Drosophila melanogaster: one gene and its partner. The gene in region 1 interacts genetically with each later gene. Each region holds a gene or a part of one and is shown on either strand. Other genes may lie near its edges. The genes, in order: pds5 and wapl.

What was found.
Region 2: of pds5 (region 1) and wapl, changing one enhances a phenotype caused by changing the other (phenotypic enhancement), as found in Drosophila melanogaster (one study listed by BioGRID).

Annotation. Positions count from the first base shown.
Region 1 is NT_033778.4:12,026,274-12,034,088, reverse strand, and holds pds5 (precocious dissociation of sisters 5), read right to left. Parts: upstream 6,105-7,815; 5' UTR 5,857-6,104; intron 5,795-5,856; exon of another isoform or gene 5,537-5,794; 5' UTR 5,515-5,536; coding exon 5,434-5,514; intron 5,373-5,433; coding exon 4,987-5,372; intron 4,924-4,986; coding exon 4,716-4,923; intron 4,658-4,715; coding exon 4,489-4,657; intron 4,426-4,488; coding exon 3,684-4,425; intron 3,620-3,683; coding exon 3,356-3,619; intron 3,299-3,355; coding exon 3,205-3,298; intron 3,143-3,204; coding exon 2,297-3,142; intron 2,232-2,296; coding exon 2,095-2,231; intron 2,034-2,094; coding exon 1,954-2,033; intron 1,893-1,953; coding exon 1,627-1,892; intron 1,555-1,626; coding exon 1,264-1,554; intron 1,201-1,263; coding exon 1,108-1,200; 3' UTR 364-1,107; downstream 1-363. Other genes in the region: Mppe (metallophosphoesterase), read left to right, coding at 6,841-6,866, 6,932-7,047, 7,104-7,366, 7,490-7,815.
Region 2 is NC_004354.4:2,155,915-2,160,890, forward strand, and holds the start of wapl (wings apart-like), read right to left. Parts: upstream 3,070-4,976; 5' UTR 2,379-3,069; intron 1,600-2,378; 5' UTR 1,519-1,599; coding exon 475-1,518; intron 1-474. Other genes in the region: Cyp4d1 (cytochrome P450 4d1), read right to left, coding at 3,301-3,650, 3,711-4,334, 4,469-4,976. UniProt on the Drosophila melanogaster protein: Has a role in female meiotic chromosome segregation in females; proximal heterochromatin is involved in chromosome pairing during female meiosis.

The DNA of each region.
Region 1 (7,815 bases):
GTTCGAACTGCGCGGCAAAACAACAATCAGTGTCTATTTAACTCGACAATTGTTTGGTTTATTTCACAATAGCACAAAAACAACAAGAAAAACGTCACACCCCCGAAAAAAAACAACGCAGAAAATGCAATTGGAACTAGTGATGGGAGAGTTGATGTTGCACCGTGAACTATCGACGGCCTCTTATCGATAGTTCATTTGTTATCAATATTCAAATTAGTTTTAGCCCTCCTAAGAGCGACTTTGAAATTGAAAAGAAAAAAGTTAGAAACAAAAATTATATTTTAGCCATTTTTTAAACTTACTTTATATTAAAAAAGTACAACATTTTAATAATTTAAACTAAAAGCCCATTTTCGATATCCATTTTAACATTTAAATAATAATCATACGTTTATTTGTAATTTAAAAACCATAATAATTGTTTAATGTACATGTTTTATAGTTTAATGTGTGTATTCATTTTATTTTTATCTTTGTAGTTTTCTTTCCAATTCTTACGCTTTTAGGTTTTCTTTTTGAATGCATTTTGAATGCATACTTGTTGAATTTAACGAGACAATTGTATGTATTATGATGATGTTACATTAACTAAAAATTAACTGCGATCATAGAAAAGTTAATTTTAATTACTTAATAAGGCTCTGTTTACGTTTTCATTACTTTACTTCGTACTTTAACTTATGCGCGATATACTTTCCTTTTTTTATTCGATATACAATAGTCTAAGAATAATGGTAAAATCAATCAATAAATCAAACACTATAAAAGAACAGGATAAAACATTTTAAATGATAAATAATTACTTTTACAGAGTTGCGGTTAACAGATTTTTCGACACTTTTTTCGTTTTTCTTTTTTTGATGTTTGTGTTTTTGGTGTATCTCACAAAATTGATATAGTACATACTGAATGCGAAACTGAACAATCCGAATTCTGGGTGCTTAGTTGTGAGTTGCATGGTGTGGATAAAGGTAGTGTCGGTTTAACAACTATCGTGGTCTTTCCTACGTCTTAAATATTTAGTTAACTTAGGCGCCTAGACTAAACATAACTAAACTAACAAGTATGCGCTCTCTCCACCTCCAATCTGCGCCATCCCAGCCCCTATGATTTGGCTGAAGCGGCTCCTGCGCGCGTTCGTTTGGCCATGGGCTCCGTAGTGTCAGCCGCTCGTATGTTGTCGAACAGATTGTTCTCCTGAAATCAAATTTCACACACTAGTTAGATTCATTCTCAGTATTTTCCAAGGACCTCACTCACCTGCGGATTTTCATCATCCATGATTGACTGTTCCGCCGGTCTCTTTGGAGCCACTGCTGCTCGCGACGTTGTCATTGCTGTTGCGGCAGCTTTGCTCGTGGATTTGGCTCCCAGCGTATACACGTCCAGCGGTATATAGACGTCATTGTTTTGGAAATTCGCAACGGCAGGCTCTTTATAATACATTTCTGGCAAAGCCAGCGGCATGGAAAAGGTGCTCGTGTTGCCATCAAATGGACTGAACTTGGAGTCGATAATGTACATGGCAAGATCGCAGAGCGCCCACATTTTCTGATAACCGAAAAATATATGTATAAATATAATTTAGAAGGGAAAGCCTGGGAAAATGATTGAGTGACATACATAGTTGTCGCGCTTGTCCGACCCCAGACTGAACTCGCGATGCTTTATCAGCTGCAGCAGCTGCTTGTAGAAGCTATGGACAAACGTTTCTCGTTTGGCCATCAGCGGCTCCAGAATGAAACGCAGGCACTTCTCCATCTTGCGCAGCTGTACGTAGTCCTCGTGATTCGTGAAGCGTGGATCGTGGACCAGCACGGGAATAGCGAAAGCCAGCATGTAGTCAGGTAGTATGTGTAATGATTGTGACTCCGTTGAGCTGTCGGGAGCTGGAATAATTTGATTTAATGGTTAAAATACACAATATGATTCCAAAAGTAAAACACCTACATGTCATAGCCACAGTCTTGAGATATTCCCGCCGTTTGTTTACATCCGTTTCTGCATAGTGACGCACAAGGTCTTGCAATCTGTTGAAAATATTTATCAATACTTCTCCGAACGGATCGGATGGTTTCTTGAACTACTCACTTCCTCTCAGTCTCTAGACCAGCCAGCACATACAAGCCCATGAAGTCCAGCGGCAAACAGTTCCTGGGCAAACTTCTGCTTAATCCTTTGTGCAGCTTGCGAGCAAAGATTTCCCGAACTTCTGGCACCGGATCAGCCTACGGGAACACCGAGATAGACATTGAGACTAAGTTCTAAGCACAAGATGAATGTCTCTACTCACCATCAGCTGGGAAAGCTGCAAATACTGCTCAGCGCTGTACTGATCACCTACGCCCTTTTGTTCGCACACTTTGAGCATGGCGCAGGCTGCCCCGAGGCGCAGCCAAGATTTCTCGGCACCGCAAAGACGGTTCTGGCCGAGCAAATCGCCTCGTTGGTTAACAAACGCCGCCAGCATTCGGAATGTTTTCTGGGCAGCGTGCTCATCGGTACGCAATCCCAAAAGCCACCTGGCCATAGCCTTGAGCGCATCCAGCTTACATAGAGTGTCCGGCGGTAGTTTCTCTTGGGCACACCAATCACTGTCCTCTGGCAGTTCGTAGTCTCGCTGCGCAGGAACTTCTTGGATAAGCAGCTCTTTGACAATTCGTCGCGCAATCATATTCTTAATGGGCGTTAGGAAGGCCTGTGGCATATTGTAGGCAATGTGACCCAAGGTCACAATCTTTGTGCGCTGATGCTCACAGTTTGGTGTCAGTTTTAGGCGAAGCGTCTCGATGATCTCGTTGAAAATAGGATGCACTGTTTGTGTAGTTGTGGACGCACTTCCAGCTCCACTTGTTGCTCCATCAGTGGAAGCCGACGACTGGCTGTTTACGAAAATACATCGCACCGCGTGCTTTGCTTGCTTGGGGGTTCCAATAAGTGCGAAGTCCTTGCACACCGGAGCCAGCTCGTCGAGAATAGCCGGTGTAGGGTCGTCAATGAGTGGCTGATAGCGCCCCAGATGAGTTAGTGTCTTTAGCACCAGTGGTGCAACATAATCCTGCTCGTAACTGAGCAGGGAAATTAAATGACGCAGCGAAGTATCGGTGAAGAAATGAGCCGAAAAGACGTATGAAAGCATCTGCAAGTATAAAGCAATCAAATGGATTTCTGTATCATAACTTAAATTATCTCTATACTCACGGCCAACAACTTGAGTCCGCGCTCGCCCGCTTCCTGAGCCGAAATTCCGATCTCTTCACACATGGACCCTTTCTCGATGCATTGTTCAATTAGGCTGAGCAAAAAGATTACCGGATTAAGTCTGGCAAAAGGGCACTTAAAAGCAATTTACCTAATAAGTACGCCAATAGACTCCTTGTCCACCATCACTGATGCCACGCGCTCAATCAGCATCTTAACTGTGTTGTAATACAGATTCGATTGGACGTGGGCGCCAAGCTTTTTCAGGAGAACTCCCATCGTGTCAGCACACTCCCGACAGCTTACGTCGCGTTTAAGGACAATGTTAATGCATCGTAGGAGCTGAGCATCTTTTCGCAGGTTGTTGCTAAACTGGGTTAGGTACTCTGCCGCTTTTAGGGGATCTGGAAGCAGTCTGAAGAAAAAAAAACACATCACTGGTTACAAACTATCAAAAGAAAACTTATTATAGAACCCACTTGGCAATGTTGGCCTGCTTGGCGCTGAGCTGACTAAGTACGCGCGGCGTGAACTCCTTAGAGTGGTGTAGCTTGATCCAATCACTGACCGTATTGCGTGTCTTCATTTGGTTCTTCTGCAGCTCGACGAAAGCCTTGGTGGCATTGGCATCGAGATCGCCTAGCAAATGATATAGCTTCTTCATGCGCTCTTCCGGAGCTAGTTTATAGGGAACCAGGCAGGTGATAAGTAGGCGTTCCACAAGCAGGCGGTCCTCCAAGCCCACTTTGTAGTATCCATGTAGTATCTTGTTCTTAATCCAGTCAACCCTGACCTTAAGGCCAGTGCTTAGATCGTTGGGTTCGCAAATTGCGCGCTTGTAGATGTAGGCCAGACCATTCATCGCATCCCTGCGAATTTTGTACTTCTTATCTAGCGTCCGCTCGCGCACAATTTCTAGTAGATCGGGCGCTTCGAGAACGAGGGTGAAGTCGCGCTTGGCAGTTTCCACAATAGCCATTACCACCTCGTGGCGGACCACTTCGTCAAGATCGTGATTTCGAAGCCGCAATTTCTCGGTGATATCGTGCTGAAGACTTGGGTGATTGAGCAGGAAGTGCATGGATGACTGAACACACTTGATGCGAACTGGTTCGGTGATGTCGCAGAAGCGCCCAAAGAAGATTTTCAACAGGTTGGGGTACTTTTTCGCTAGTTGCGAGTCCTTTTCGGAGAACATACGAGACAAGAGAGTGGTTGCCTCTGTAGTAACGAAAATATGTTTATTAATATGCAAATAGAGGTACATGCTGATAAATTACTCACTTAGCCTCTCAGCATCGTCCGTGGACAGCAGTTTGTTCTCCAGCTGAGGTAGCACTGAACACAACAAGCCTGCATTGATGCGGTTAAGCTCGTAAATGATATCATAGATTTTGTTTGTAATGGACAGTTTTGTGTTTGGCTTATCCATGACCAGAGCACGGTTAAAGAACTGTAGATCAGGGATTAGGTTGAATAACGTGGTGCACCAAAGATCAACGAAATATTACCATTTTGATGGTGGACTCGAGAGCATCGCCCGTTTTAGTGAGAAGTTGTTCTGTTAATTGGCAGGCAAACTTGTTGTTAGATTTGTACGGCTCTACGATGTTAATCAGAATGAGATCCAACAATTCCACCGACAGATTGTCGGCTTCTGTGATCAACGGGCTTAGCACATCTAGAAAAAAGTTAGTCACCTTGACACTGTGCTGGTCACTAGAAAATTATATAACATGTGATTATAAAGAGTTCGCAGGATAAAGGAAGAGCTCGACTTACTTGACAATCTTGAAGATGGTACTAAACAGGTCTTGGAAGATTTCTTGGCAGTCCTCCAGTTCGAAACACATATTAAAAGACTTGACAAAAGCAAGGTTCTCCAGCAGATAGAAGTAACGCTTGAAAGAGGGATCGCGCGGATCCTTCAGACCGTGCAGTTGCTTGATAAAAAACTTAAATATAGTTTTGATTTGATCTTGCTCTTTGTAGGGAGCCTCTGGCGCATAAACCCGCAGGACATCCGCCACGCAGCACGCGATTAAGAGCTGGACATCACGGGATGGATGTTGCATAAAGAAGTCGTCCAGCAGATGGAGGGCCAATGGTATGTATTGCTGGTAGAGATTGTCGTCCTGGTCCATGGTCTGCAGAACATTGGCGAGGGTCTGTAAAACAGAATCATTCTAAGTGAGAAGTTTTGCTAAGGGAACCAGGGGCAGGACTCACCTTGAGGCGCCTTATCAGCTCGTCTGTGCCCAAATCCTCGACCAGCGGCCGGCATCCGGTGGGGTACACTATGTCCGCCATCCTCACCGCCAATGGGAGCTACCTGCAAGCCAGGATTTCAAGGATTCAGTGGCAGGTGCAACAATTCCGTGCGACAGCAACAACAACGAATGCGACCCTCAAAATAACATTGAAAAAGTGGAGGAGGGTGGCATCACGAACACACAAGCACGAAGCTCCACACAAGCACACACACACATGGGCAGCAGCACCACAAGCACACAGAGTGGCCAATATTGTTTGGTTATTTCTTTTTCGCAAACAACAAATAGAGAGCGCCCAAATTGTAGCGCCCTTGCCACTGCAATTTACCCAATGTTTTATATTAAACTGCGGCGCAGTTTTTGGAACTCGGAATCTTACTTTTCACAACGGGCAGGAAGCGGCACAATTTTTTTGCAATTTTGCGAACCCCTGCTTTCGATGACCGCTTAGCGCGCGTCTCCTTCGAATCACTGCACTATGGATGGGATTGATCCTGTCCAGCTATTTACACATGTTCGGTTACAAGAGTCTTTTGCGGTGCTTATGTTGTTAAAAATAAGCAAAAACCAAGGAGCATTTATGTGGAGTGGCACGCCATTAATCCACGCACGAAGCGTTGCCAGAGGTTTTTTGGAAGTGTGGCCAGACTCTTCGCAGATTAGTACATGATTGCATTTCAGCTGATTAGCATTGACGTGTTGTTGGTGCTAGCGAGGAGAGCGGAAGGGGTCGTGTCACGAAATCGGATATATAATCGGAATGAAATCGGGATATAAATAACTTATTAAACTGTATTTATAAATTTACTTAAGAACAACATTTGAGTATCATGTTTGTTTTGCTTTGAGCATTCAGTTAGTGCTAATCACGCGCTCACCTCTAATTTTGTTTGTTGTGCTTGGCAAACAGCTGTAGCGTTGCCACATAGCCGTCGCGGCGCAAGAAGTGCAAACATAGGATAAAGATAATTGCACAATTATTGGCACCTGGAGCCGGCAAACGCTGTAACGGAATTGCCCGCGTTCAAAAGCCAATGGCGCGCATTGGCGAAACATCGGAGGAATGTGGTAATGGACGCAACACAACGTTCCGGCCGTTCTAGATGTTTTGCTTTCTAATCCAATTAAGCGTGTGCGCCCTGAAAGCGATGATGCGGGCCGGTTGTGGTCAGATGTGCGCCGTCCGTTGCAGCAGCTCTACATTCCCGAAAATATGAGCATTCTTACGTAAATATTGCATGGGCAGTGCGTATTTAAATATAGATTGTACATATAGAGACGCAATGTAAGCCAGTTGCATTTGCCAGAGGACAACCGAAAGTATTAATCAAGCAATCCAAACCGATGCGGCATAGCCGGGATTATGGCTTCCTTGCGCGTCGTCAATAGGTGGGTCATAGTTGACGTTACTTTTGTTAACCGAAACTATTTAATCCTTCCATAATCCCCGAAAGAAACAGATTAGTGTGCCGCGGTTTTGTGGCTCTTACGTTGCTGCTGGTCTTCTTCAACGAGTTTATAGTTTACTACATGGCCCAGTCCAGTTGGCAGCCAATCGATTGCAAACTAGGTAAGCCGTAACACAGTTTTTGAGTCGCATCATAACAAGCTATTTTTCCCACATAGATAATTGCACGCGCCTGCTGCTTATTGCTGATCCCCAGATACTGGGAAACTCCTACGATCGATCTTCGCACAGTCCTTTAGCCAGGTACGATTCGGATAGATACCTGGCGAAGACTTTCGAGCGAGCTCTTGCCTTTACACAGCCTCACATCATAGTGTTCCTGGGCGATCTGTTGGACGAAGGCAACATTGCCACGGCTCAAGAGTACAAGCAGTACGTTCAGCGGTTCAGACGAATTTATCAGAATAAGAACTACAAAAAAGTAAGGAGTACTGCTTTTGCTTCACCTTAAATTGTTGTTGCACCTATAATTATTTCAATTTAAAGTTTTTCCAAAGCGATTATACAACTTTGCGAATGGGATTGACCCCTTAAAACCTAACAGTTCCGCATGATCTCTGCCTTTTTTCAGCGCGTCCATGTGCCGGGTGACAATGATATTGGCGGCGAGAATGGCGACTACATATCCAACTCGAACCAAAGACGCTTTGAGAACGAATTCATGAGTGAAGACCTCTTTGACTATGACAATCGATTACGCTTCTTCAAGATAAACCGCATGCTATTGGACTTTAGCAACCCGGATAGGGATAACAATGCGGATCGTCTAAGAATTGGCGTATCCCATGCCCCGCTGCTCATTGGCGGAGGACCCCTGTTGAGAGCCATCATCAGCGACTTGGATCCACATATCATTTTCTCAGGACACTG
Region 2 (4,976 bases), on another chromosome or scaffold:
ACAACTCGGGAGAGCGACTCGACTCCAATTCCGTTGGTTTGCCATGTAAAAGCGCGCGTAATTTAACACTGCTTCGCGCGCTGCGCTGCCTTCCCTTTCCCACACACAGTGAGCAGGGAATGGTAGGAGAAAGAGAGGGAAACGGAGAAAGGCGAAGCATTGTTGAGCAAGAGAGAGGTGGCCGGGCGATTAAGTGCGAAAGAGATGGCGGAGCGCGTGTGAGAGAGAGGGAGGGCGATCGCATTTGGGGTACTCGGCAAATAGTTAGGAGTTGGATAACTTTTTCTCTGAGTGAAATGTACCGAGAAACGGAGTGGTGAAAATCAAAAAAGAAGGGGCACCCACTAGTGTGGTGGATATATTAATTTAAATTACTATTAGGTAGGTTACTATTAGGAAATAGAGAGAAGTGGAAGCATAATATTTAGGTCTAGAGTTTAAAATAATTCAAATTCCAGGCAATTCAAAACTCACCTTGGAGATGCGTAGCACGATAGGAGGATGTTCTGGCGTGCGGGAGGCGCTGGGAGGATTTGACGCGCTGCCTGATGCGGAGGGCAGTTGGGACGAGGTGGACGCAGATGCACTTGGCGCTGACGTAGGCGGGGGTAACGACGGCTCCGATCCAGGGCTGCCAAACGTGGAACTGATGAAGGCTTCCGACGAAGCGGCGGCAAGTGTTGCCGTAGCCGCCACTTCAGCCGGTTGGCGCCCCGCTTTGGGAATGATCAGATCCTTGGTGGGCGTGGGATAGCGCTCGTCCTCGTCCACTTCGCGGTAGTTGACAGCCTTGCGGGCGCGTCCCAGTACCCGCGAAGGCGGCGCCTCTGGCTTCAGCTTCTTCTCCTCCTTCGGCTTCTTCTGCTTCTGCTTGCCCGAGGCACTGGACGGTTGCTCCGGCTGCTCTGAGGCGGGATCGCTTAGCCCATCGCCATCTCGATCGGAGGCGCCGTAGAACGCACCAGGCGTCGAGGGCGTGGAGGCTGACGTTGTTGCTGCCTTCTTTTTCGGCGATTTGCGCTTCCGCTCTGCGGAACTGGCGCCCTTGCCCGGCTTCAGCTTCACTCCGCCCGCCTCCTGGGCACCGGAAGTAGGCGTGAGACCACCAGCACCCGCACCCGCCGACGAGAAATGGTCTCGCATGGGTGATGCGCCGGCTCCACAGTGCGGTAGCTGCTGAATGATCTGAGCTATGACCTCCGGCGGAGCTGTATTCCTCGATTTGAAGAACTTTTTCGGCTTCGGCGGCTCCGGAACCGAAACGGACAGGTCGTTGGGATCGTGATCCTGCGTGGAGGCGGGACTCTGGGAGGGACTGGCGGCTGCTGCAGCAGCCGCCGCTGCCGCAGCCATAGGATGGATGGCGGGCAGGGTGTAGGTGCGCGTGGAGGTGAAGCCCATCTTGCCCCACTTGCCAACGGTGCCCACGGAACGGGCGACAGTGGGCCGGTTGGTGTTCTCCTTCTCCTTGCAGAGTGAGTCCAGCGGCACCACGATGTTCTTGCCCCAGCGCGACATCTTCGCTAGCGGTGGTTCCTTTGCTGCTTCTGGTATCCTCTAACTCCGTGTTGCTGACTCTAATCCTTGGTGATGTGGTCACTGGAAATGGAGAAACATTAGTTAACCGGCTTCTTGGCTAGCACACAGCAAACGCATCGCTCATCAAAGTAAAGTTCGGACTTTATCAACATGAATTTTACTACAATACATACAACCATTCGGAAACAGCTGTACAATTCGTTATTTACCATTTCATTATCCTGCAGAGAAACTAGGTAACAGTAAATCGATTTAACATATGTGTATTTGCAGGCCTATTTGGACCAAGAAATGAGCACATGCTGGGGATTATATCGAACCTAGTTGGATTTGGCTGCCCAGATAGGGCCAGATAAGGGCACGGATGACAAGAAACCTAGTTTTATAGCTAGTACCAATCCAAGGATTAGGAATCCAAAACCCGAAAGAGACCCTACTCTCCCTCCGCGGAGGCAGCGAAAAGGTGGTTGGAGGATTCGCAGGACATGGACCACAATGCAGGCCGTGCTCGTCAATCATTAACTATTAATTCATGTTTCGCACTGCGGACAGTTATTGAATTTTACTAAAAGTGAGCGATTTGTTTGGCTGGGCAGAGAGAAGTGCAGCAACAGCAAAACACAACAAACGCGGGCACGTAAGGAGTACGTCGGTGCGAGCGAGAGCACTCGATAGTGCGCGCACACACACGCACACAGGCGATTTCCAATTTTCACACACACACGCACCGAAATCAAATCAAGACCAATTTCCAAAGCAAAGGCCGAAAAACAAACAATTTGTTGCACTTTACTGTCGTAAAAATCGCCAAACGGAATTCACAAAAATCAACAACTCACCTCAGGCGAAACATTTGGCTGCTCTCTTTGTTTTTGTTGTTATCCGTTTGCTGCGTGGATGCATGTGGTTGCGTGTGTGAGTGAGTGTGGTCAAATAAAAAAATCTCTGTTGCTGCTGCAGCGCATATGTATGCGACTGCGTGCGTGTGCATATATATAGGTGTGTGTGTGCGTGGAATGCAATAAAACAAACGATGTTTGCGTTTGCTTTTGCTTATTGGCGCAATTTGATTTGCACGAACTGTGTGCTCGATATTTTAGCGATTACTCGGGGCTCAAGCCACCATCACTCTTATCATTTTCCGCCTGGCCGCTAACTGCAGCGTGTTTTTTGCGTCGCACCACGGGCTTAGTGCTTTTGCCACCACTTTTACTTTACAGCATCATCCCAGAAGCAGTAGCAGCAGCAACAACAACACCCACAAACACACACACAACTAACACCAACACAAACAACAATACGATTATACTGGCCGTTCCGTTCTTCTTCTTGCTGCGAATATTTCTTTGATTTCGCGATTCTCCGCTAAATCGGCGCCAATCGAGAGCGCGTAGTTGTGCAATTTGCAGGGTAAACGAACGCGATCGCGAATTTCAATTTTTGCAATGGCGAAATGCGCGAAAAAGTTTAATTTCTCTGTTTTTCTACACGAGAGAAGAGAAACACTATTTTAGAGCTGGGCTAACGATTCATGAAACTATCGATATGCCGTAGACGATAGCGTAGGACTCACTATCGAAACGTGTGGCGCAAAATTAAGCGAACAGCATTCGCGCTATCGACATTAGTCCTCCCCTAAGCCAGTGTGACCATGACCTTACTGTTCGGCCTTCACTCAAAGCAAAGACTTTGCCGCCAATCGTTCACATTTTTGAATATATTTTAATTGACAAGCGTAAAGATATAATGCGATGTTGTGGTTCAGTAGACTCGCTCCCGCACCTTGAACATCAAGGGTTCCTTGGTACGCAGAATAAGTTCGGCGATCAGCACGGGTGGTTCCGAGGAGTCGCCCACAAAGTCAACCTCGTAGTGCCGGAGCACATTGGCCACGATGGCCTTGATCTCCAGCATGGCGAACTTCTGGCCAATGCAGTTGCGAGGTCCGGCCGAGAACGGAATGTACGCGTACGGATTCAGCTTCTCGGCGGTGGTGACCACATCGAACCGTTCCGGCTTGAAGATATTGGGCTCGCTAAAGAGCTCCTCCCGTCTGCCCAAGTAGAGAGGGGAGATGCCGATATTCGTGCCCGCCGGGATGAGCTTTCCATCTGCATTGGGGAAAGGCAAGTTAAAATTGAGTACTTTACTCCTCTACGCACTGTACTCACTGATCTCGCAGTCCTCGAGAACCTTACGACCCAGCAGCGGTACAGACGGATACATTCGAAGGGTCTCCTTCACGCACAGGTCGACGTAGTGCAGCTGGTTCAGCAGCTCATAGCTCACCGGCGTGCTCTTGTCATTGCCCACCACGGACCGGATCTCCTCAAAGCACTTCTTCTGCGCCTCCGGGTGGGTGGCTATGTTGTAGAAGAAGAACATCAGGGCCGAAGAGGTGGTGTCGTGGCCCTCGAACATGAAGGTGTCCACTTCCTCGCGAATGTCCAAGTTGCTCAGGGGCCGTTCGTCGACGGTCGACTGCAGAAGGATGTCCAGGAAGGCCATCTTTCGCTTGGCGCCCACGTCCGCGTCATCATTGCTGCTCTCCTGGCTGCTTCCTTCGCGGATGAGCTCCTCCCTGCGCTGCACGATGATCTTCTCTGTGAACTGGTGAAGCACGTTCAGGGCCTTCTTCTCCGCCCTCGCCAGTGGGGTCAGCATGTAGGTAAGGTCGAAGCGGTACAGAATGTTGAACATCCGCTTGTGCAGCACCATTGATATGGTCTTCACCGCCTGGACGTACTCGGAGTCTGCATTCGACTGCGCATTGATGGAAACACCCATGGCAGTTTCTGGAATAGAAAAAGGAATGCTATCAAAGCTTTTACAAATAGATACTATGGCCTTACTCAGGCCATACCAAGAGCCCATTCTTCAAAGCACCACCATTTGCTAGATGATAAAAATTAAAGACCTAGATCCCTACCGCAGATCGTGTCCATGGTGCAGAGATTGATCCAGTCGTAGAGGCTAAAGCCGGAGTCGCCGTGCTTCAGGCGATCCTGCTCCATATTCCGGAGCAAATCTCGCGACCCCTTCTCGAAGACCTCAACGAACTGGTCGAGGATCTTGAAGTGGAAGGCGGGCGTGATAATTTTGCGTCGCTTGTGCCACTTCCGACCGCGACTGACCAGCAGACCCTCCTTTAGCCACGGCTCCAGGGCCTTGTATTCACCCGCCTTGTCGTTGAAGCGCAACGTGCCCAGGACGACCTCGACGTCCTTGGGGTTGCCCATGAGCACGTTCAGCTCGGGTCCCAGCCACACCTTGAGCACCTGGTCCTTGGAGTAGGTCTCCATGAACTCGAAAATCTTCTTGACCATCTCGTGCGGCGGCTTGCCGATGAAGTGGTGGCCATGGCCGACCAGCGGCAGCACGGGAGGACCCGGCATGTAGCTGATGAGGTCAATCAGCCGCTTGAATTTTAGATGGTA